2 linked regions of the Stegostoma tigrinum genome follow. The protein of the gene in region 1 interacts with the protein of each later gene in a biochemical or structural test. Links are inferred from orthologs where the notes say so. Each region holds a gene or a part of one and is shown on either strand. Other genes may lie near its edges.

Region 1 (10,530 bases):
CCATCTTAATCAGCCTTGCTATTTCTGCCTTGATCTTTGCTTTAATTACATATGGCAGTGATCTGGCCTCGCCACATTCTGATCTTTGATTTCCAATTTGACAAGATCTTTGCTTCCTAGATCCCGATTAAAAGCATCTTTTCTTTAGAATTTCTAATCATTCTCAGAGTCTGACAAGCGATTTATTTCAGCCCAGTAAATTTGACTTTCTTCAACTACATTCTTCCCGATAAAGCTGGAAGGTTTCCTTTGACAATGTGTATCTTCAGACTAATCGTTTACCTGAACATTCACATTGATACAATCTCTTGAAGGCATCACTACACCTGTGTACATTCATAGTACAATTTTTGAGGGTTACAATGCAATGTACTTCTGAGACACACATTCAGGTATCAATGAAACTGCTGTTCCAGTATCCACCTCAATTCCTACAGGTTTACCATTCAATAAGGGAGTGACTCAGAGTCAGTTTGTTGTTGGCAATGGCCAGTACACGTAATAACATTCAAACTGACAGTCTCGGCTTTTCTAAGTAGCCTTTTTGTAGATTCTTTCCACTCTTCAGTTTCTGTACTTTTTCTATGTGTTCATGTTCCTTCATCAAGCACATCTGATTAATGTGCCCTTTTATTGCTGCCGTTTCTGCATACATTTATATCTGTAATTTGTTGCTGTGACCTGTTTTCCTCACCAGTCACAGTTCTGGTATTTATCTCTCAGCTACATTCTGTGAATCCTCTCGGTTGCCATTTTGCGAGGTCTCATCCTCGAGATTAGCATTAAACTTCTTTGGCTGTAAGTTTAATTGAGACTGCTATTTCCAGTGCTTTCAAGTATAGAGATAGTAGGAACTGCAGATGCTGGAGAATCTGAGGTAACAAGGTGTAGAGCTGGATGATAACTCCTGCTCCTGTGACGCTGCTTGACCTTTCAAGTATAGGTTCCTTTCCGTCAGTGATGTCTTCTAGATTTCTTCACATCTTAACCACACACTAGTCTGTCTCTGAGCATCATTTAAGTTGTCTCTGAATCTGCAAGTTTCTGCTAATTTCTTTAAAATTTCTACAAACTTAGAGATTTATCACTATGCTGGTTGCATTTGTTGATTCTGAACCTTTCAGCAATGATTTTGGTGCAAAGTGGTTCTCTTGGATTCCCACTATTTAAACTGGGCTAAGGACATGCAGATGGTGCTGTTTTCACAATTGTGAGCCACCTTGACCTGCAAGAGAGTTGTGTGTAACGTCCCTAAACAGGTTAATTAGATATCTATCAGTGCATGTGATTTCATAGTTGAATTATGGACAGTGTCAAGAGCTGAGAACTGGATGTGAAGATTACAGAATGTTAAGTGTGTGAGACTGAGTTGAAGCTGTAAAGGAAGGTATGAGTTCTAGTTGAGAAACAAATTGCTGCTCGGTGATTGATGTATTAGAGTTGAGCAATATCTGAATCTCATCATTCTATTCTAAGGATATGGCATGTGATGAAACATTCATTGACCTTGAGCACTCATGAGATCATTAAACCTTTTCCTACATCTCATCTAGATCTTTGGGATGCATTGTTTGACAATATTGACAGCACTGGCTATCTGGTTGCACTGCCATCTCCTCCTATGCACCTTATTTGCCAAATTCTTTAGTGTTAGGTTAAACGCCCTTGAGTATACTGTCTGCTCTGCTTCCCCCTTGAAGAGGTGCTGACTGGCTTTTGACTGTGCAAGCCACCTTTTGAATAGTGCTAAGCATGCATAAATTTGAATCCCTTGTTGCGGTGTCCAGCCTGTCTCTGAGAACCGTGGTACAGTTATTTAAGTGGGCATGAAGAAGGGAATAATAGTTGGAAAATTCTGCATTGGAAAATCCTAGAAACATTCTGGCCATGCAGTTTCAATGGAAAGCCATAGATACATTTGTTCAGATTGGTGATCTTTTGTCAGGGTTCTGATGAAAGATAATTAATCTGAAATGTGAATTGTACTTTCCTCTCCAAAAATGCCATTTGAACACTAAGCATATTTTTATCCTCAACTGACCTAGACACAAGCAATTCCAGTGGTGGTTACTCAATGATCAAAATGAAGACACAGGCTGATTTTTTTTTTCCATCTCTATTCCAGTGGTTCTTTGTAAAACTGGAAGAGGAGTTGCTACAATTGAGCACAGTCAGTTAACTCTCATAGACTAAGTTGAACATGCAATTGCTGTTACAATTATTTGCAATCTTGACAATAGTAGGAAATATTCAGGATGTATAGCTGTTGGATGTTGTGTGTTGTATATGTGTAGTAGGATATCAAATTGCCAAAATAGTCACTAAATAATAAACTACTGCACTGATATGTTACTGCATTTTGTTTTGATCACAAGTTCGGCTGAGTTCTGAACTCACCTGTCAAGAGCACTGGTGCAATTTTAACACTGCTCATCTGTACAAACTGACAGAAGGAATAAAATGTGACTTAAAATACTGACAATATACCCCAATTAAACAGGCTGAAATCAGTCCATTGGCAATTCCATTGTATTGTATTGCAAACTGTTTCCAATTAAAACAATTCAGTAATATACAAATTAAAATTATCTATAACAGACTAGAACATTAAATAGCTAGTGAATAAAAGTAATAATATTTATTAATGGATTTAGAAATTATAGTCAATTCTTTCACAAATATAAATAATCGTCAATTTATATAAATTGTGAAATAACTTGTCATTTCATATTTAGACAAAACAGCAAAAAAGGTTTTTGTAATAAAGTACAATTTTGTAAGTAAGTACAGTAAAAATCCTTAACTTATTCGGTTTTGGTTTTTTAAACTTCCCCTCAGCTCCGTGACATCGTGTAATTAGTCAGCAATACTGCATTTTCACAACAAAATTCAAACACTTCTGTTATCCATTCGATGAGTCTGTCAAAACACAAGTTTTTTTTTAAAGTTCTAGTTCCCGAAATGGAAGCTGTAATTCCCGCAATTCTTCCGGCAGTTCTATTACTCTCAGCTATGAAATCAGTTCCAACCCTTGCTTCGGTTCCCGTCTGCTTAGTCATTGTCACTATTTCCAGGCACAACTCAAGTTGAGTCATAGTCCAGCGTTCAGAGAAAATAATTACAGACAATCGAAAGTCCAGTCTAGCCTGCTCTCAGCAACAAATAAAAACTCTAATTTTCCAGCGCCAAGTTTTCGGACAGCTACTGAGAATATCTCCTGAGCAATTCCTGAGAAACAAAAGCGAATCTTAAATCCAGGGTCTGTGATTTAAAATTGATCACCGCTCGGGCAGGTTGATGATTGGAACCCACTGGTCCAAGTAACGACTTTCTTTGCAGAAACAGCTGACTTTGCTCAACGCTGCGTCTTTCCATGGTGCAACTTGACTCTGAATTGAAGACAAATAAAATCATCCTTATGGAACAAAATATTTTAAAAAGTGCATCATTTAATTCTCACCGCCCCCTTCTTTCCAAAATACTGTACTTGTAATCTCAAATCATGATGTTAGCTATTCTCTAACTTATGCCATCTATTGGTGCAAAAAGACATTACGTCAACCACGACCACATTTACATCCAATCACAACAATCAGTTGAGTATCGGTATATACAGTTTCGTCTGCTTCTAGGGGTCCAATTGTCAACTTGCAATAACCTAGACTGATTTCAGTCACCGTCTGTAACTCGTTTCATACTGTCTACAAATAACTTTATTTAAATCCTCACAAAGGTAAGATTTCTGTCATTGTTTAAAACTGATGACGGTTTTACGCCTCGGTTATTGGATTCGTTCCTGGTGTGACTAGTATAATACTTACAGTGATCAATATGCAATGGAGATCTTTGGGTTCGCCTGCCCCATCAATCCCGCCCAAGATCTCTGCTAGACGGTGCATGTTGTTCACTCTCATTATGTTAATATCGTTTTCGCAGCAAAAAGCTTGGATCAGAGTAAAATGAATTTGTAAAGCCACATCCAGATCATCCCCTTCATCCGTCGCAAGCAAGCATAAAACAACGTTGTCAGGGTCCCTGTCGAAAAGTATAAATAAAATCCGTCCGTTTTTAAACTGATTTTTTAAAAAGTAAAAATGTGAAAACTTTGGTTCTTGGTGGATACTTACGCGTTGAGGAGTTTTGCTGCTTCGTACACTCCAACTGTGATGCAGCCTTGCGCCAGCGCGGAGCTCAAAACTTCTTCCAAAGCTTTTCTCACTACGTCCATCCTACCACCCGCATCAGAAGTTTTAAAAAAAACAGTATTAATTCCTTCATCAATAACAACAACAGGATCTAACTCCAGAGATTAACAATTCTGCGTTATGGTTGTGTCAAATGAATGCAAATGTATGTGCTTCATCTCACAAAAAATTCTACTATGACAGGAAGATTAAACTTCTTTTAACCGACGCACAACGCAAACCAAGAATCTGCACCGCACGCTCAATCAAACACTGTTTCACTTTTTAAAAAAAAGATAGGGTTTATTTAAAGTGCAATCGGTGCGCTTTATAGCATTGCTTTTACCTGTCTGCTTTCTGATCGCCTGTAAGTTCTTCAAAAGTCATTCTGTTTGTCGGTGTGAATGAGTTTCTCAGGTTGCTACAGCTTTCTCTGCCTGCAATTGACAGTGCCTTGCGTGCGCTAGTGGGCTCGATCCAGCTCAATGCAGCGGCTGCTGTCAGCTCCGGCACTGAGAAGGCTCGCGGCGTTGAAGGCGGAGTTACAGCCAGGGGGCCGGATGTAACAAGGGAAAGCCAACCAACCCAGTGCTCGCTTATTTGCATGGGCGCTCCGCCATTGGTCGTTGTCCTTTATGCTAATAAGGACTTTGCTTTCACCCTGACCCGCTGGGGACAAAGGGTCAGCCCTGGGGGAGGTGGGTTTTGTGGTGGGGGGGAGGGTTGGAGCGGATACCGAAGCGTGTCTGTCTCGCAGCTCACTGGGGCGGTCGACACATCAATCAATGCTCATTCCTCATTTCGGTATCCATGTTTGGAAATTGTAGGATTGCCCGACGAAATTATTCATAGAAGCAAAAGCCTTAATTCTTTGTTTAACGTCAAACGTGATATTTAAAAAAAAGTCCACTATGTGTAGATACAGTAAACAAACCTCCACTGCAACGTCTATCACCAAGGACAAGGGCAACAATGTTAAGGGAACGCCAACACTTCCACATTCAGTTCCAAATCACGTCATCTGTAATTGCGCGTTGATAGTCATTCCTTCATCATTGCTGGTTCAATATCTTGGAATTTCCTACGCTTTAAATGTAGTCAGTTGACTGTAAAACACTTGGGACATTCTAAGGTTGTGAAAGACACCAAGTAAACACAAGCTTCACTCGTCGTCTCCATCTCAGGCAATCAGCTTGTAACTGATGTCCATTTCAAGCCCACTGACTCCCACAGCTACCTAGGATACACCTCCTCCCACCCACCCTCCTGCAAAAATTCCATCCCCTATTCCCAATTCCTCCGCCTCCGCCGCATCTGCTCTCACGATGAGGCATTCCACTCCCGCACATCCCAGACGTCCAAGTTCTTCAAGAGCCGCAACTTTCCCCCCACAGTGGTCGAGAACGCCCTTGACCACGTCTCCCGCATTTCCCGCAACACATCCCTCACACCCCGCCCCTGCCACAACCGCCCAAAGAGGATCCCCCTCGTTCTCACACACCACCCCACCAACCTCCGTATACGACGCATCATCCTCCGACACCTCCGCCATCTACAATCTGACACCACCACCCAAGACATTTTTCCATCCCCACCCTTGTCTGCTTTCTGGAGAGACCACTCTCTCCGTGACTCCCTTGTTAGCTCCACACTGCCCTCCAACCCCACCACACCCAGCACCTTCCCCTGCAACCGCAGGAAATGCTACACTTGCCCCCACACCTCCTCCCTCACCCCTATCCCAGGCCCTAAGATGACTTTCCATATTAAGCAGAGGTTCACCTGCACATCTGCCAATGTGGTATACTGTATCCATTGTACCCGGTGTGGCTTCCTCTACATTGGGGAAACCAAGCGGAGGCTTGGGGACCTCCGCTCGGTTCACAGTAAACAACTGCACCTCCCAGTCGCTAACCATTTCAACTCCCCCTCTCATTCTTTAGATGACATGTCCATCATGGGCCTCCTGCAGTGCCACAATGATGCCACCCGAAGGTTGCAGGAACAGCAACTCATATTCCGCTTGGGAACCTTGCAGCCCAATGGTATCAATGTGGACTTCATCAGCTTCAAAATCTCCCCCTGCCCCACTGCATCCCAAAACCAGCCCAGCTCGTCCCCTCCCCTCACTGCATCACACAACCAGCGCAGCTCATCCCCTCCCCCTACTGCATCCCAAAACCAGTCCAGCCTGTCTCTGCCTCCCTAACCTGTTCTTCCTCTCACCCATCCCTTCCTCCCACCCCAAGCCGCACCTCTGTTTCCTACCAATTAACCTCATCCCACCTCCTTGACCTGTCCGTCTTCCCTGGACTGACTTATCCCCTCCCTACCTACCCACCTATACTCTCCTCTCCACCTATCTTCTTTTCTCAATCTTCGATCCACCTCCCCCTCTCTCCCTATTTATTCCAGAACCCTCACCCCATCCCCCTCTCTGATGAAGGGTCTCGGCCCGAAACGTCAGCTTTTGTGCTCCTGAGATGCTGCTTGGCCTGCTGTGTTCATCCAGCTTCACACTTTATTATCTTGGATTCTCCAGCATCTGCAGTTCCCATTATCTCTCTTCACTCGTTGTGCCCTGATTGGAACACTCAGTGTCATTATCATCAAGCAGACTGACCACCAGGGTCAGTAATGTGGAAATTAAACATGTTCCTGCCTGTATCACTGCTGTTTCAAGAGCATATTTTAAGAACATATGTAACTGTTGACAAGAATGTGAGCATATATATTTCAAGTCTGCATAATCATCTCAGTACAGGTGTAGAGCTGTAATACAAATATCAGTTACAAATAATGCATATTCAATTATTGCAATATATTAAAATTTCATTATCAATTCTACTCCACGTAAAGTAATAAGTACAAGCCTAATCAGTTCATTTTACAAAGGAGCATGCATTCAGGTTTCATCTTTTCCATCAAATCAGAATGTGCCAAAGCATTTTGGAGCGCAACCTAGGCGCAATGTCGGGTATTGCAGCAGCCAAACTGCACTCATGAATGTCTCATTAATAGCAGTGCAATTAATGAACAAATGATCTGTTTTAGCAATGTAAATTGAGACACGATGGGCAGGTGCCCATGTGGACTGGGGTGGACAAAGTCAGAAGTTTCACGACAACAAGTTATGGCCCAACAGGCTTATTTTCAATTACAAATTTTCAGTATGCTGCTCCTTTGTCAGTCCACTATTGACTCTGTATCCATCACTCTAACATCAATGTAATTCAAATCCAAATCAATTGTGCAAAGAAATGTTTCCTCATGTTGCCTCCGAATTTTTGTCAATCATCCTAAGTCTGTACCCTTTGATTACAGACCTTCCAGCCAATCGAATTAGTTTCCGGGTCTCTCTCTGCTAACATATCCATTTAATTGTGCTATTTAGCATCTCTCTTCTCATTTTTTCGACCATAATGTATCATCTCATTGCTTTCTGCATTGAATTGTATCTGTCACAAGTCTATCCCATTGAATTCTACTATTATCTTAACATTTATAATTCTTCTAAGTTTTGTGACATTTTCAAATTTCAAAGTTACATGCTATAACTTTAAATCAAAGTCACTAATAAATATTAACAAAATAGTGACCTTAAATACAGAATCTTTGGAAAAGTACTGTATACCTCATTTCAATCTAAAATACCGCCATTTATTTTAGGTGGATTGGCCATGCTAATTTGCTGATCGTGTCCATGGATTTTCAGACTGGGTGGATTAGCCATGGGAAATGCAGGGTTACAGGGATGGCAACCACCTACAAATTGATGTCCATTTCAAGCCCACTGACTCCCATAGCTACCTGGAATACACCTCCTCCCACCCACTTCCCTGCAAAAATTCCATCCCCTGTTCCCCATTCCTTCGCCTTCGCCGCATCTGCTCCCAGGATGAGGCATTTCACTCCCGCTCATCCCAGATGTCCTCGTTCTTCAAAGGCCTCTACTTACCCCTGCAGTGCTCGAGAACGCCCTCGACCGTGTCTCCTGCATATCCCGCACCTCGTCTCTCACACCCTGCCCTCGTAATAACCACCCAAAGAGAATCCCCCTAGTCCTCACATACCACCTCACCAACTTCCGCATACAACGCATCATCCTCTGACACTTCCGCCATCTACAATCCGACCCCACCACCAAAGGCATTTTTCCCACCCCACCCTTGGCTGCCCTCTGGAGAGACCACTCTCTCCGCAACTCCCTTGTCCGCTCCACACTCCCCTCCAATCCCACCACACCTGGCATTTTCCCCTGCAACCACAGGAAGTGCTACACCTGCACCCACACCACCTCCCTCAATCCCATCCCAGGCCCCAAGATGACTTTCCATATCAAGCAGAGGTTCACCTGCACATCTGCCAATGTGGTACATTGTCTCCACTGTACCCGGTGTGGCTTCCTCTACATTGGGGAAACCAAGCGGAGGCTTGGGGACCGCTTTGCAGAACACCTACGCTCGGTTCGCAGAAAACAACTGCACCTCCCAGTCGCGAACCATTTCAGCTCCCCTTCCCATTCCTTAGACGACATGTCCATCCTGGGCCTCCTGCAGTGCCATAATGATGCCACCTGTAGGTTGCAGAAACAGCAACTCATTTTCCACTAGGGAACCCTGCAGCCCAATGGTATCAATGTGGATTTCACCAGCTTCAAAAATCTCCCCTCCCCCCACTGCATCCTAAAACCAGCCCAGCTCATCTCCGCCTGCCTAACCTGTTCTTCCTCTCACCTATAACCTCCTCCCATCTCAAGCCACACCTCCATTTCCTACCTACTAACCTCATCTCGCCCCGTTGACCTGTCCGTCCTCCCCGGACTGACCTGTCCCCTCCCTACCTCCCCACCCGTACTCTCCTCTGCACCTATCCTCTCCTCTATCTATCTTCAGTCTGCTCCCCCTTGTTCCCTACTTATTCCAGAACCCTCACCCCATCCCCCTTTTCTGATGAAGGGCCTAGGCCGGAAATGTCAGCTTTTGTGCTCCTGAGATGCTGCTTTCCTGCTGTGTTATCTTACAGGGATAGGGTGGTGGGCAGAGTTTGGATGAGATGTTCTTTAGAGGGTGGTGTGACTTTGATGGGCTGAATGGCTTGCTACCACACGCTAGAGATTCTGTGATTCTATGATTACCTTCTGTTTCCTATTCCATATCTCGATAACATTCAATCAACTTGCTCATCTGTGACACACATTTGAAACTGGTAGGGACTGAATATAGACCTTCAGGCCCAGAGGTTGGGGCATTACCACTGTGCTACAGGAGCTCTTCTATTTTGGGTCTACTCTCTTAAACAAAATATTAATCAGGTTAGACAGCCCTGTTAGGGCCAATTTTGTATCTATACTGATATTTCCCCTTTTAATCCACTAGCTTCAATTTTGTTAACTAGCCTGGTATGTGATATTTTCCCTCTTGAAAGTTGAGTCGCATGACAACAATTGCACTGCTTTCAACAATCCTCTCAGTTACTGAATCACATAGCTTAATCAAGTGAATCAAACACAACTGGCCTTTAAAAATTACGTTTTTTTTGTTTAAATTTCTCCTTGTTTGCCCAAGTGGCTGATAAATATCTACTGGATTATTGTTTCTCAAAATTTATTTGCCTCTGACAGTATACTGAATTGTAACTGTCAGGATTACCCGCTTCCCTTTGTATAAACAAGGTTTTAACAGTTTCAATCCTTATGTCTTTTGACTCAACTCTATCAAAAGAGGCTTGTGGCCAGAGACTTTGCAATTTCTACTCTTACTGATTTCATCCCGATCAGGTAACTTGTCTATTTTAAATAAGCCTTCCTAATTTCTCCCTTTTATTTAGGTTATCTCATCTGATACCCCAGCAACCTCTTCATTTACAATAACTTTAGCTAACTCCTCCTCGTTAGTGAACATTAGTACCAAGTGCCATTTAATCTCCTAATCTTGCCTTCTGCTTCCACAATAGATCACTACTTTGCTCTCCGATCAATTTCACTACTCCTTTGATAACCTTTTCACATTAATATGCCAGGCAACCTTGGATTCCTTATTATGTTAGTTGATAATCTTTTTTACTGATCCTTGCCTCTATGAATTCATTTTTCATTTCTATTAGCTTCTTTGCATGATTCTGCTATTTACTAAGACTGTGAGATATGGGAGCTAAAGTAGGCCATTTGGCCTATTGAGATGAGATAATGGGAACTGCAGATGGTGGAGAATCCGAGGTAACAAAATGTGGAGCTGGATGAACACAGCAGGCCAAGCAGCATCTTAGGAGCACAAAAGCTGACATTTCAGGCCTAGACCCTTCATCAGAAAAGGGGGATGGGGAGAGGGCTCTTAAATAAATAGGG
Region 2 (10,802 bases), on another chromosome or scaffold:
TTGGATAATCAGCCATGATTATATAAAATGTCAGAGGCCCAAATGACTTGTTCCCATTTTTTATATAACAGTTCAAAAGCAGAGTCTGGTTGGTGGGAAGTACAGACAAAAATGAAATTTAATACAATGTGAAAAAACAGATTTTGATGGGACTAGTGAGTAAAAGCAATATAAAAATGATTTTAAAATAGCATGCAGGAGCACAAGAAAACTGGAAACAATTGATGAAAGTGGCAGAACAGGTTGAGAAACTGGTCAGTAAGCCATATGGGATCCTGGGCTCTTTAACTGAGAACAATTTAAAAAAAAGCAAGAATGTTAACGATTTTCATACAGCACTGAACCAGAAGAAACTGTAGATACCAGAAACCTGAAACATCTACCTCGGAGAAAACAATCAATGTTTCAGGTACAGCGATCCTTCTTCAGCACTTCAGTCAGCATTACACTTCAAAAAATGTGGAGGATTAGAGAGAATATACAGAAAAACAATTATGAAAATGGCTCTGGGAATGAGATTTCAGTTATAAAGGAAAAAAGGTATTAGCCAAGCTTCTCTCAAGAAAACCAAGATGACAAGACAAATTGAATGGTCTCCTACACTGTAACACTTGTTTTTGTTTGCAATTTATACTAATGTTATGTACCTGACTTAAACACAAATTCTACGAAGATCTTAATTTCAAATATATTTCAAGCAGTATACCTATGAACTCTAAATCAATCACAGGCTAACAAAGTGATAAGACAACGCTGCAATTACAGCCTTGGCAAAAATAATTCAAACTGTTGGTAGTTTTTTGACCAGCTGTCAATTGGTTATTTTAAAAGTTTCTATACACCCAACGCATTTCCTCTGACAGTATACCATAACTATTAGACCTGAGGAGATCAGGTGTGACAGGGACGAGTCTCAAGGCTCTATGCATGTGGGTTATAGGGGGATGGGTCTGGGTGGGATGCTCCAAAGGGCAGTGTGGACTTGTTGGGCCAAAGGGCCTGTTTCCACACTGTAGGGAATCTAATCTAATCTAACCCAATTAGGTACACATAAGCAACTTTTTAGGCAAAATAATGCTTGATGTTTCTCTTCTGTCCAAATAGGGTAGCTTTTGTTTTCATATTTGCTTGCAATAGTTTTCTTTTTTAAAAAAAATGAAAGTAATCTGAAAGGGCACAGATGACATCAGTCAACCACCCACCCAACATAGCTACTGAGAATCCAAATCCTTGAAGCATAATCTACTCCAGGTTTTCTACTCAGATGCTTCTCTGGAAAATGAAAATGCAAACAAGACAACCACAGTAACATGCTTATGTAGGGATCCTGGTAAGTCAATGATCCAATCATGCAAGACCAATAAGCAATTTAACCCTTTGAGCACTCTAGCTCTTGCTAGGCCAGAACAAAATGGGACATACATTTCATTCTACTTTCAATTTTACAAGCAAAGAGAATTTAATTTGGATCATACTCAAATCAAACACTATCTACTAATGGGCGACTGGATTAGAACTTGTGTACTCAAAGGATTTTTGTTTTCCACCCAAAAGCCAGAAGAACTTTGTACCACAAATGGTACATTAGTAGCTTTCAGTATAATAAAGCTTAGCAAAAACAAATGGAGAAAAAAAATAGGAGATAGGCAAGTGCAAATCCTGCTGATTCTACAGATGCAACACCTTGAATTGTCTTCAGAATTTAGCCTACCATTGACTTTGGTAGTTTCATTCTCATTTTTCAAGAGCTTGGATCCACAAAAACAGAATAGTAACTTCGGGTCTAGTTGCAGTGATGAATACAACTGAATTGGGAGGGTTAAAGAGACAGTTTCATTATAATGCAAGTTTGTTCAGTATCCTACATGGTATTTACAATACTGTCATGCTCATCACATCTTTAATTATAGAATCGTACAAAGTAACTTTGCAACAATACATCAACAGCCATAAAGTTGACGCGTGATAATGGGAACTGCAGATGCTGGAGAATCCAAGATAATAAAATGTGAGGCTGGATGAACACAGCAGGCCCAGCAGCATCTCAGGAGCACAAAAGCTGACGTTTCGGGCTTAGGCCCTTCATCAGAGAGGGGGATGGGGGGAGGGTTCTGGAATAAATAGGGAGAGAGGGGGAGGTGGACCGAAGATGGAGAGAAAAGAAGATAGTAGGGAGGGGATAGGTCAGTCCAGGGAAGACGGACAGGTCAAGGAGGTGGGATGAGGTTGGTAGGTAGGAGATGGAGGTGCGGCTTGGGGTGGGAGGAAGAGATGGGTGAGAGGAAGAACAGGTTAGGGAGGCAAAGACAGGTTGGACTGGTTTTGGGATGCAGTGGGTGGAGGGGAAGAGCTGGGCTGGTTGTGTGGTGCAGTGGGGGGAAGGGACGAACTGGGCTGGTTTTGGGATGCGGTGAGGGAAGGGGAGATTTTGAAGCTGATGAAGTCCACATTGATACCATTGGGCTGCAGGGTTCCCAAGAGGAATATGATTCAGGTGTTCAGCAAAGTGGTCCCCAAACCTCCACTTGGTTTCCCCAATGTAGAGGATGCCACACCGGGTACAGTGGATGCAGTATACCACATTGGCAGATGTGCAGGTGAACCTCTGCTTAATGTGGAAAGTCATCTTGGGGCCTGGGATAGGGGTGAGAGAGGTGGTGTGGGGGCAAGTGTTGCATTTCCTGCGGTTGCAGGGGAAGGTGCCGCGTGTGGTGGGGTTGGAGGGCAGCGTGGAGCGAACAAGGGAGTCACGGAGAGAGTGGTCTCTCCGGAAAGCAGACAGGGGTGGGGATGGAAAAATGTCTTGGGTGGTGGGGTCGGATTGTAGATGGCGGAAGTGTCGGAGGATGATGCATTGTATCCGGAGGTTGGTGGGGTGGTGTGTGAGAACGAGGGAGATCCTCTTTGGGCGGTTGTGGCGGGGGCGGGGTGTGAGGCATGTGTTGCAGGAAATGCGGTCAAGGGCGTTCTCGACCACTGTGGGGGGGAAGTTGCAGTCCTTGAAGAACTTGGACATCTGGGATGTGCGGGAGTGGAATGCCTCATCGTGGGAGCAGATGCGGCGGAGGAATTGGGAATAGGGGATGGAATTTTTGCAGGAGGGTGGGTGGGAGGAGGTGTATTCTAGGCAGAGGTTCACCTGCACATCTGCCAATGTGGTATACTGCATCCACTGTACCCGGTGTGGCTTCCTCTACATTGGGGAAACCAAGCGGAGGCTTGGGGACCACTTTGCAGAACACCTCTGCTCGGTTTGCAATAAACAACTGCACCTCCCAGTCGCAAACCATTTCCACTCCCCCTCCCATTCTTTAGATGACATGTCCATCACGGGCCTCCTGCAGTGCCACAATGATGCCACCCAAAGGTTGCAGGAACAGCAAATCATATTCCTCTTGGGAACCCTGCAGCCCAATGGTATCAATGTGGACTTCATCAGCTTCAAAATCTCCCCTTCCCCCACCGCATCCCAAAACCAGCCGTTCGTCCCCTCCCCCCACTGCACTACACAACCAGCCCAGCTCTTCCCCTCCACCCATTGCATCCCAAAACCAGTCCAACCTGTATCTGCCTCCCTAACCTGTTCTTCCTCTCACCCATCACTTCCTCCCACCCCAAGCCGCACCTCCATCTCCTACCTACCAACCTCATCCCACCTCCTTGACCTGTCCGTCTTCCCTGGACTGACCTATCCCCTCCCTACCTATCTTATTTTCTCTCCATCTTCAGTCCACCTCCCCCTCTCTCCCTATTTATTCCAGAACCCTCACCCCATCCCCCTCTCTGAAGAAGGGTCTAGGCCCGAAACGTCAGCTTTTGTGCTCCTGAGATGCTGCTGGGCCTGCTGTGTTCATCCAGCCTCTCATTTCATTATAAAGTTGACCCTCTTGCTTTCTCACCTCAGCAGCTTCCTTCTCAAACTTCTCAATGGTTCTCTTGTCAATGCCACCACATTTGTAGATCAAATGGCCAGTGGTGGTGGACTTGCCAGAATCCACATGGCCAATGACAACAATGTTGATGTGGATCTTTTCCTTACCCATTGCTTTTGCCAGTGGGTTGTTGCCTCAGCCTTAAGGAACTAGGGATGGGAGTTAAATTGGGAGAAAAAAGTTAGGAAGCCAAAAAAAAAACGCAATACTGACGCCTTCTCCCCATACCAAATCTCCAAATTACAGGAGTCGGTGGATTTACTCTAAAGACAGTGGCCATCTCCTCCTGTAAGGGGGGGGAGGGGGAGAAAGAGCGCCTCTCTCGATCTTCAGCCGCTTTCCCTCCTTTTTTTTAAGCGCATCTCCGTCATTTCTCCGAATTGTTACAGTGATAAAGATACCTGCTGCCTTTCCCTCTCCAACGCCCCCATTCCAGTTGATGTTGCTCTCCTCCATTTTGACTGACAATAACCGCACGGACACACCGGCCATTTTCTCACCAACGGGCACCGAACCGCCCCCACCCCCAACACACGGTTCCTCCGGACAGGGTCAGGGACAAGCTCCACCCGTAACCTTCGCCGAACGATCACCAACGTTTGCGGTAAAACGGTATAAGAAAAAAAACCTTCAAAAAAAATAAAAAGCCCCGCCGCCGCCCACTTGTCGGCTGCACCCCCCCCCCCTCCAATTTTATACTAACGATGCCACAGAAAAGCGAACGCCAGGTGGGGGGGGGGGATGAGAAAAGACTGCTCCGGTAATAGAAGATTAGAATATTTGGGGTCGTTAGGGGTCCCCCCCTCTCCCTCCCTCTCTCTCTCTGTCTCTCGATTCACCCCGAAATTAGCCAATTCGAACCGAAACCCGTTTAGTAGCCGCCGCCGCCTTCTAAAGGGGACGCGGCTAACGAAGCTGGCCCACAGCTTCGAATCCCTCCAACCCGGTCACACCATCTCCTCCAACAGCAGCACTCCCACCCACCACCCATCCCGTTTCTTTCACCGCTTCACCTTCTCGATGGAGGAGTGGAGGTGGTTACCGCCCGCCCGCAATAGGTCAATGCGTCGAGCCAAAAGGCCACCCTACACCCTACCGGCTCCACACACGCTCGGCAAACAGGCGGAAAGCGGCTGCGTCACGGCTATTAATAGGCGCCAGCGGGTGGGCGTTGGGAAGAAGGGGGTCCGCCGATTGACTTCAATTGCGACCCCCCGCGGTCAACACACACAATCCGTGCCCATCCCTCGTGCGCCGACTCCGCCCCCTCGTGACTGGAGCTCGAGCTCGCCCGCTGCCTGAACGATTCGACGGCGGGGTTTGGGTCAGACCGAGAGAACATCATCGCCCCCACACAGCGCAGGAGGCCATTCAGCCCGATGTGTCTGTGCTGCCTCAACGGGGAGCCACCCTCCCTGTCCCACCCAATGACCCGACGCCCCCCGCTAACCTTCCAGCGGCTCTGAAAACTTTTCCCTCAGGTAATCCTCCACCGCAGCCCCAAAGAAAAACTCACCTTTTGCCAATCGCTTAAAAGGGTTGTTTCCCCCAGTCTGCTGGCATCTTATGTTATCTCACGTAAAACATAACCTGTTCTGTTTGATGAGATGTGAGAGTTTGTCGCCATTGGCCTCTCACTGTGAGCTTTGCCACACTAACAAATGTACCAAATTTGCATCAACTGAGAGCAGTGTGGCAGGTTGAGGTGGGGGGTAAAGGGGTGAAGTGCCATGTGTATTAGTGCATATGTACACCCCCCCGCTCCAAATTTTGAAGGGATATTTCAAGAGTTAACTTATACACCAAGTTTAAAAGTGAACCACACGTGTTTGTGGGTGACAGTAACCGTTTTGAAACACCAGCAACCAAACACCAACTGTGCTACTCCCCCACATCTTCACCAAATAGCCCATAGTGCCAGCTCAATCCCTTTCATCTGTTCAGGAGATATTGGTGAGAGAAGATCTTAGATTGGAAGATCAATATCTAGAATCCGTTCAGATGGAGCTAAGAAACAGGGACGGGCAGCGAAACCTGGTGCAAGTTGTTTAGAGGCCACCAAACAGTAGTGCTAATAAAACTGGAGATGCATGTAACAATGATAGCGTAATCACAGAGAACTTCAGTCTACATATAGACTTGAGAAAACTGATTGGCACCATTGCTATGAGAAGGAATTCCTGAAAATAGTCTTCTCAAGGAACCAAGTAAAGATTAGATTACTTTAGATCCATTTTTGTGCAATGAGAAAAGACTGATTAATAATCTTGTAAAGGAGCATTCAGGGATGAATTACCAGAACTTTTGGCAAGTTTGAGGTTCAACCATAAGAACAGACTGGTTATGATAGAACTATATAGGTCATTGTACTCTACTGGTGACCGAATCAACGTGCATTTCTGAATGAGGGACAAGTTAGCTATGGTAAACTGAGAAAGTACATTACATAAGAACTAGGAGCAGGACTATGCCATCTGGTCCCTTGAGCCTGCCCCGCCATTCAATAAGATCATGGCTGATCTTTTCAAAACTCAGCTCCAATTACCCGCCCGCTTACCATAACCCTCAATTCCTTTACTGTTCAAAAATTTATTTAGCCTTGCCTTAAAAACATTCAGTGAGGTAGCTTGAACCACTTCACTGGGCAGGGGATTCCACAAATCCACAAGCCTTTGGGTGAAGAAGTGCCTCCTAACCTCAGTCATACGTCTGCTTCCCTTCATTTTGAGGCAATGATCCTTAGTCCTAGTTTTACCTGCTAGTGGAAACAATCTCCCTGCCTCTACTTATCTATTCCCTTCACAGTCTTGTATGTTTCTATAAGATCTCCCCTCGTTCTTCTGAAGTCCAATGCATATATTCCCAGCCTACTCAGTCTCTCCTCATAATCCAACCCTCTCAACTCTGGAATCAACCAAGTGAATCTCCTCTGCACCCCCTCCAGTGCTAGTATATCTCTTCTCAAGTAAGGAGACCAAAACTGCACAGTACTCCAGGTGTGGCCTCACCAGGACCCTATACAGCTGCAGCATAGCCTCCCTGTTTTTAAACTCCATCCCTCTAGCAATGACAGACAAATTAAAGACAGACAGTCAAGGTTATAACCAAAGACAAGGACTGGCTAGCCTTTAAAGAATTAATAAATTATTTACAGCAAATATACGTTCCTTTGAGGCATAAAAACCTAACCACAAAAATGATTCAACCATGGCTAACGCGAAAAAGTTCTAGGAGATCTCAAAGAGAGACTTATAAAGTTGCCAAAAAAATAGAAAGCGTAAGGATTGGGAATATCTTAGAACTCAGCAAAGCAAGGCCAAGAAACTGATGAAGGGAAAATACAATACAAAGGTAAAAGAGCAAAAAAAAAAATCATAAAACCTTCTGTACATGTATCCAAAGAGGAAAAGACTAATAAAGACAAATGTGGGCCCATTACAGGGCAGAGTCAGTACAGTTTATAATAAAGAATAAGGAAATGACAGAAAATTTACAAATAGTTTGTATCTTGTATTCACGGAGGAAAATATAAACAGTCACCTGGAAATGACAGAACCTGAATTAGTGAAAATGGGAAACCAAAATAAATTAGCATTACTAAAAATGTAGCATCTGAACCTGATGATCTACATCTCAATGTTGAAAAGAGTGTTATAAAAGTAATGACCCTTAAATGACCGTATCTCAAGTTTTTTAAGACTGTGAAACAATCTGTACAGATTAGAAAGTAGGAAATATACCTCCACTATTTAAGAACGAAGATAACAGGGAACTGTAGCTTTGTTATTCTGATATCTGTCATCAGGAAATACAATCATGAATTATAAAGGATGTGCTAACTGCATATTTGAAAATAATGGTAAGTTTAGGCAATGGCAAAAGGGATTTATATAAGGAAAGTTATGTTTGTCAATGTGAATGGAACTAGCAGAATAGACAAAGGGGAACTAGTAGATGTGGTGTATTTGGATTTTCATAAAGCATTCAACAAGGTCCAGTTCTGTGTTAAGCCAAATAACCAGGAACAGGGTTTTAAATTAAATGATGAGGACAAAGGATCAAATTTGATTTACTGCATCTTCCCAAAAAGCATGGGAAGGAAGACACAATGGTGTTAATATGGAAAATGATAAACAGACCATGATGGAAAGGAACAGAGAATACTAATCCATGAGTAAATCCACTGTTTGTTCGAAAGATTAGAAAAATAATAACTAAAGGCTCAGTATCTGAATGCACATAGCAAAAGAAAACCGAGCACAAGTATAATTAAGTAAGTGAAATACAATAGCCATTACAGAGAGAGATGACTGTGGACTGAGGTAGGTTAGGACCTGAATATTGAAGATCACAAGACATTTAAGGATAGAAAGCAAGGAAAAGGGGGAGGTGTAGCTGTGTTAATTGATGATGGTATTAGCACAACAAAGAGGCATGTCCTGAGTTTTTAGAATAGCACATGGAGAAGTAATTGTAGAAGTAGGAAATGTTAAATGATGAAGTCAAGTCATCGAGAACATACAACATGGAAACAGACCCTTCTGACTGTGAGGGAGTTCAAAACTAGTGGGCATATTTTTAAGGTGAGAGGACAAAGACTTAAAAGGGACCAGAGGGGCAACTTTTTCACAGAGGATGGTTTTTATGTGGAACAAATTACCAGAGGAAGTGGTGAATGCAGGTACAGTTACAATATTTAAGAAGTAGTTGGACAGGCACGTGAATAGGAAAGGTTTAGAGGGATATGGACCGAATGCAGGCAAGTGGGACTAGTTTAGTTTGGGAAACTTGATCGGCATGGATAAGATGATGGGAATGACGTACAGGTCCCCTAATAGTAACCACAAAACAGGATGAAGTATGTACAGGAGAAATAATGAGAATGTAAAAGTACAGCAATAATGTCAGGTATTTTAATCTGCAAATGGACTGGAAATATTGGATAGGCAAAAGCAATTTAGATGAGAAGTTTATGGACTTTTTCTCAGCTAATTTCTGAAGATAGTACACTGAGGAGCCAACCAGATGTCAGGCTATTCTAGATCTGGTATTGTACAATGAGATAGGATAAATGAATGACCTATTAATGATGGCATCCTTAGTGAGCAACAACCATTGTACGATTGAATTTTGCTTTCAGCTTGAGAAGATAAAGTATAACTTCAAGTCCGGTATTTTAAACTGAAATAAAGGCAATCATGATGGCATGAAAACAGAACTTTGGTAAAGAATTCCAGAGAATCACAAGCTGAGAAAAGAACTTCCTCTTCATCCTCGGTCGTAAATTGATAACCCTTTATTCCAAGACTATGCCCTTTGGTCCTAAACCCTCCCATGAAGGGAAACATCCTCTCAATTCTTACCCAGTTAAACCTTTACGGAATCCTTCATGTTTCAATGAGACAATCCCTCATTCTTCTAAAATTCAGTGAATAGAGTCCCCACCTGTTTAGCCTTTGCTCAGAAGACAATCCCTCCATATTGGAGCTAATCCAAGTGAACCTTCTCTGAAATGCCTCCAATGAAATGATGTCTTTGCTTAAAAAAGGAAACAAGACCTGTTCACAACACTCCAGATGTGGTATCATCAGCATCTTGTACTGTTGCAGCAAGACTTATGTGACTCTATAACTCTACTCTTCTACTGCAATCCCTTGAAATAAAAAGACAACATTCCATGAGCCTTCCCGATTATCTATCTGCTAGCTTTCTGTGTCACATGCACAAGTAATTACCCCACATCCTTCGGTGTTTCAGCTTTCTGCAGTTTTTTTCATTTAAATAATACGGTCGTTTAATTTCCTCTTGTGGGAGAATTTAGAACAAGAGTCACTGTTACAAAACAAGGGATCACCCATTTAAGATGGAGATGGGGAGAATTTTTGTTTTTACAAAGAACTGAGAGACTTTGGAACTTTGTTCATCAAAAGGTAGTGGAAACACAGAGTCCTTGAATTATTTTAAGGCAGAGATAGACAGATTCTTGAAAAACAAAAGGGTGAAAGATTATGAGGGAATGTAGAGTAATCACATTAGTGATCCCATTACCAAATGGCAGACTATGCTTAAGGCGCTGTAGCTTACTTTTGCTTCTAATTCATATATTTGAATGGATCTCTCAAGAGCTTAGTGACCAAAATCATGGGAATTGGGATCAGGGCTAATATGCTGGCAAGGATTGAAAACTGCTTCACAGAGAATCAAAGAGGAAGAAAGTATTCGTCGTTCTCAGGTCAGTGCACTGTGACTAGTGGGTACTGCAAGGATCATTGCTTTGACCTCAGTTATTCACAGATTGCAGCAATTCTTTGGTTGTGGGGATCAATTGTAATATCTCCAAGTTTGCTAGTGATGTACAACTAGATGAGAATGTGAACACTGCATGGGATGCAAAGAGGCTTCAATGGAATGTAGACACTAATTGATTATATCTTTCCTTCTCCCATGTTCTTGCCCAAAGTTATCCACTTTGAAATGATAAACAGTAATGGAGATTAATTTTTAAATAGTGTGAAATTGGTAAGTGTGAATGTCCAGAGACACTTGGGCATCCTTGTTCAGAAGCCACTAAAACTCAATTTGCAGGTGCAGTAAGAAATTAGGAATGCAAATTATCTGTTGATTTTTATTGCAAGAGGACTTGAGCACAAGAGTAAAAATGTCCTGCTGCAATTGAGTAGTGTCTTGGGTGATACTGCACGGCACAGTGAGTACAGTATGGGGTCCTTAACTAGGAAGATTACTTTTGCCATAGAATGCAACAAAGGTTGACCAGACCAATTTCAGATGGTGGGATTCACCTGAAAGGAGAGATTAAGATTGCCTGTAATCTCTAGCATTTATAATAATGAGGTGATCTCATTCATTTAA

Evidence for each region.
Region 2: the proteins of growth arrest and DNA damage-inducible protein GADD45 alpha-like (region 1) and elongation factor 1-alpha 1 form a complex in vitro, tested with the Homo sapiens proteins (2 studies listed by BioGRID). The link is inferred for Stegostoma tigrinum from reciprocal best matches to the Homo sapiens genes GADD45A and EEF1A1.

Annotation. Positions count from the first base shown.
Region 1 is NC_081361.1:51,754,765-51,765,294, reverse strand, and holds growth arrest and DNA damage-inducible protein GADD45 alpha-like, read right to left. Parts: upstream 4,704-10,530; 5' UTR 4,572-4,703; coding exon 4,531-4,571; intron 4,230-4,530; coding exon 4,128-4,229; intron 4,036-4,127; coding exon 3,822-4,035; intron 3,734-3,821; exon of another isoform or gene 3,449-3,733; intron 3,390-3,448; coding exon 3,279-3,389; 3' UTR 2,622-3,278; downstream 1-2,621. UniProt on the Homo sapiens protein: In T-cells, functions as a regulator of p38 MAPKs by inhibiting p88 phosphorylation and activity.
Region 2 is NC_081357.1:98,947,739-98,958,540, reverse strand, and holds the start of elongation factor 1-alpha 1, read right to left. Parts: upstream 5,151-10,802; 5' UTR 4,946-5,150; intron 4,082-4,945; 5' UTR 4,044-4,081; coding exon 3,900-4,043; intron 1,812-3,899; exon of another isoform or gene 1,739-1,811; coding exon of another isoform or gene 1,712-1,738; intron 1-1,711. UniProt on the Homo sapiens protein: Translation elongation factor that catalyzes the GTP-dependent binding of aminoacyl-tRNA (aa-tRNA) to the A-site of ribosomes during the elongation phase of protein synthesis.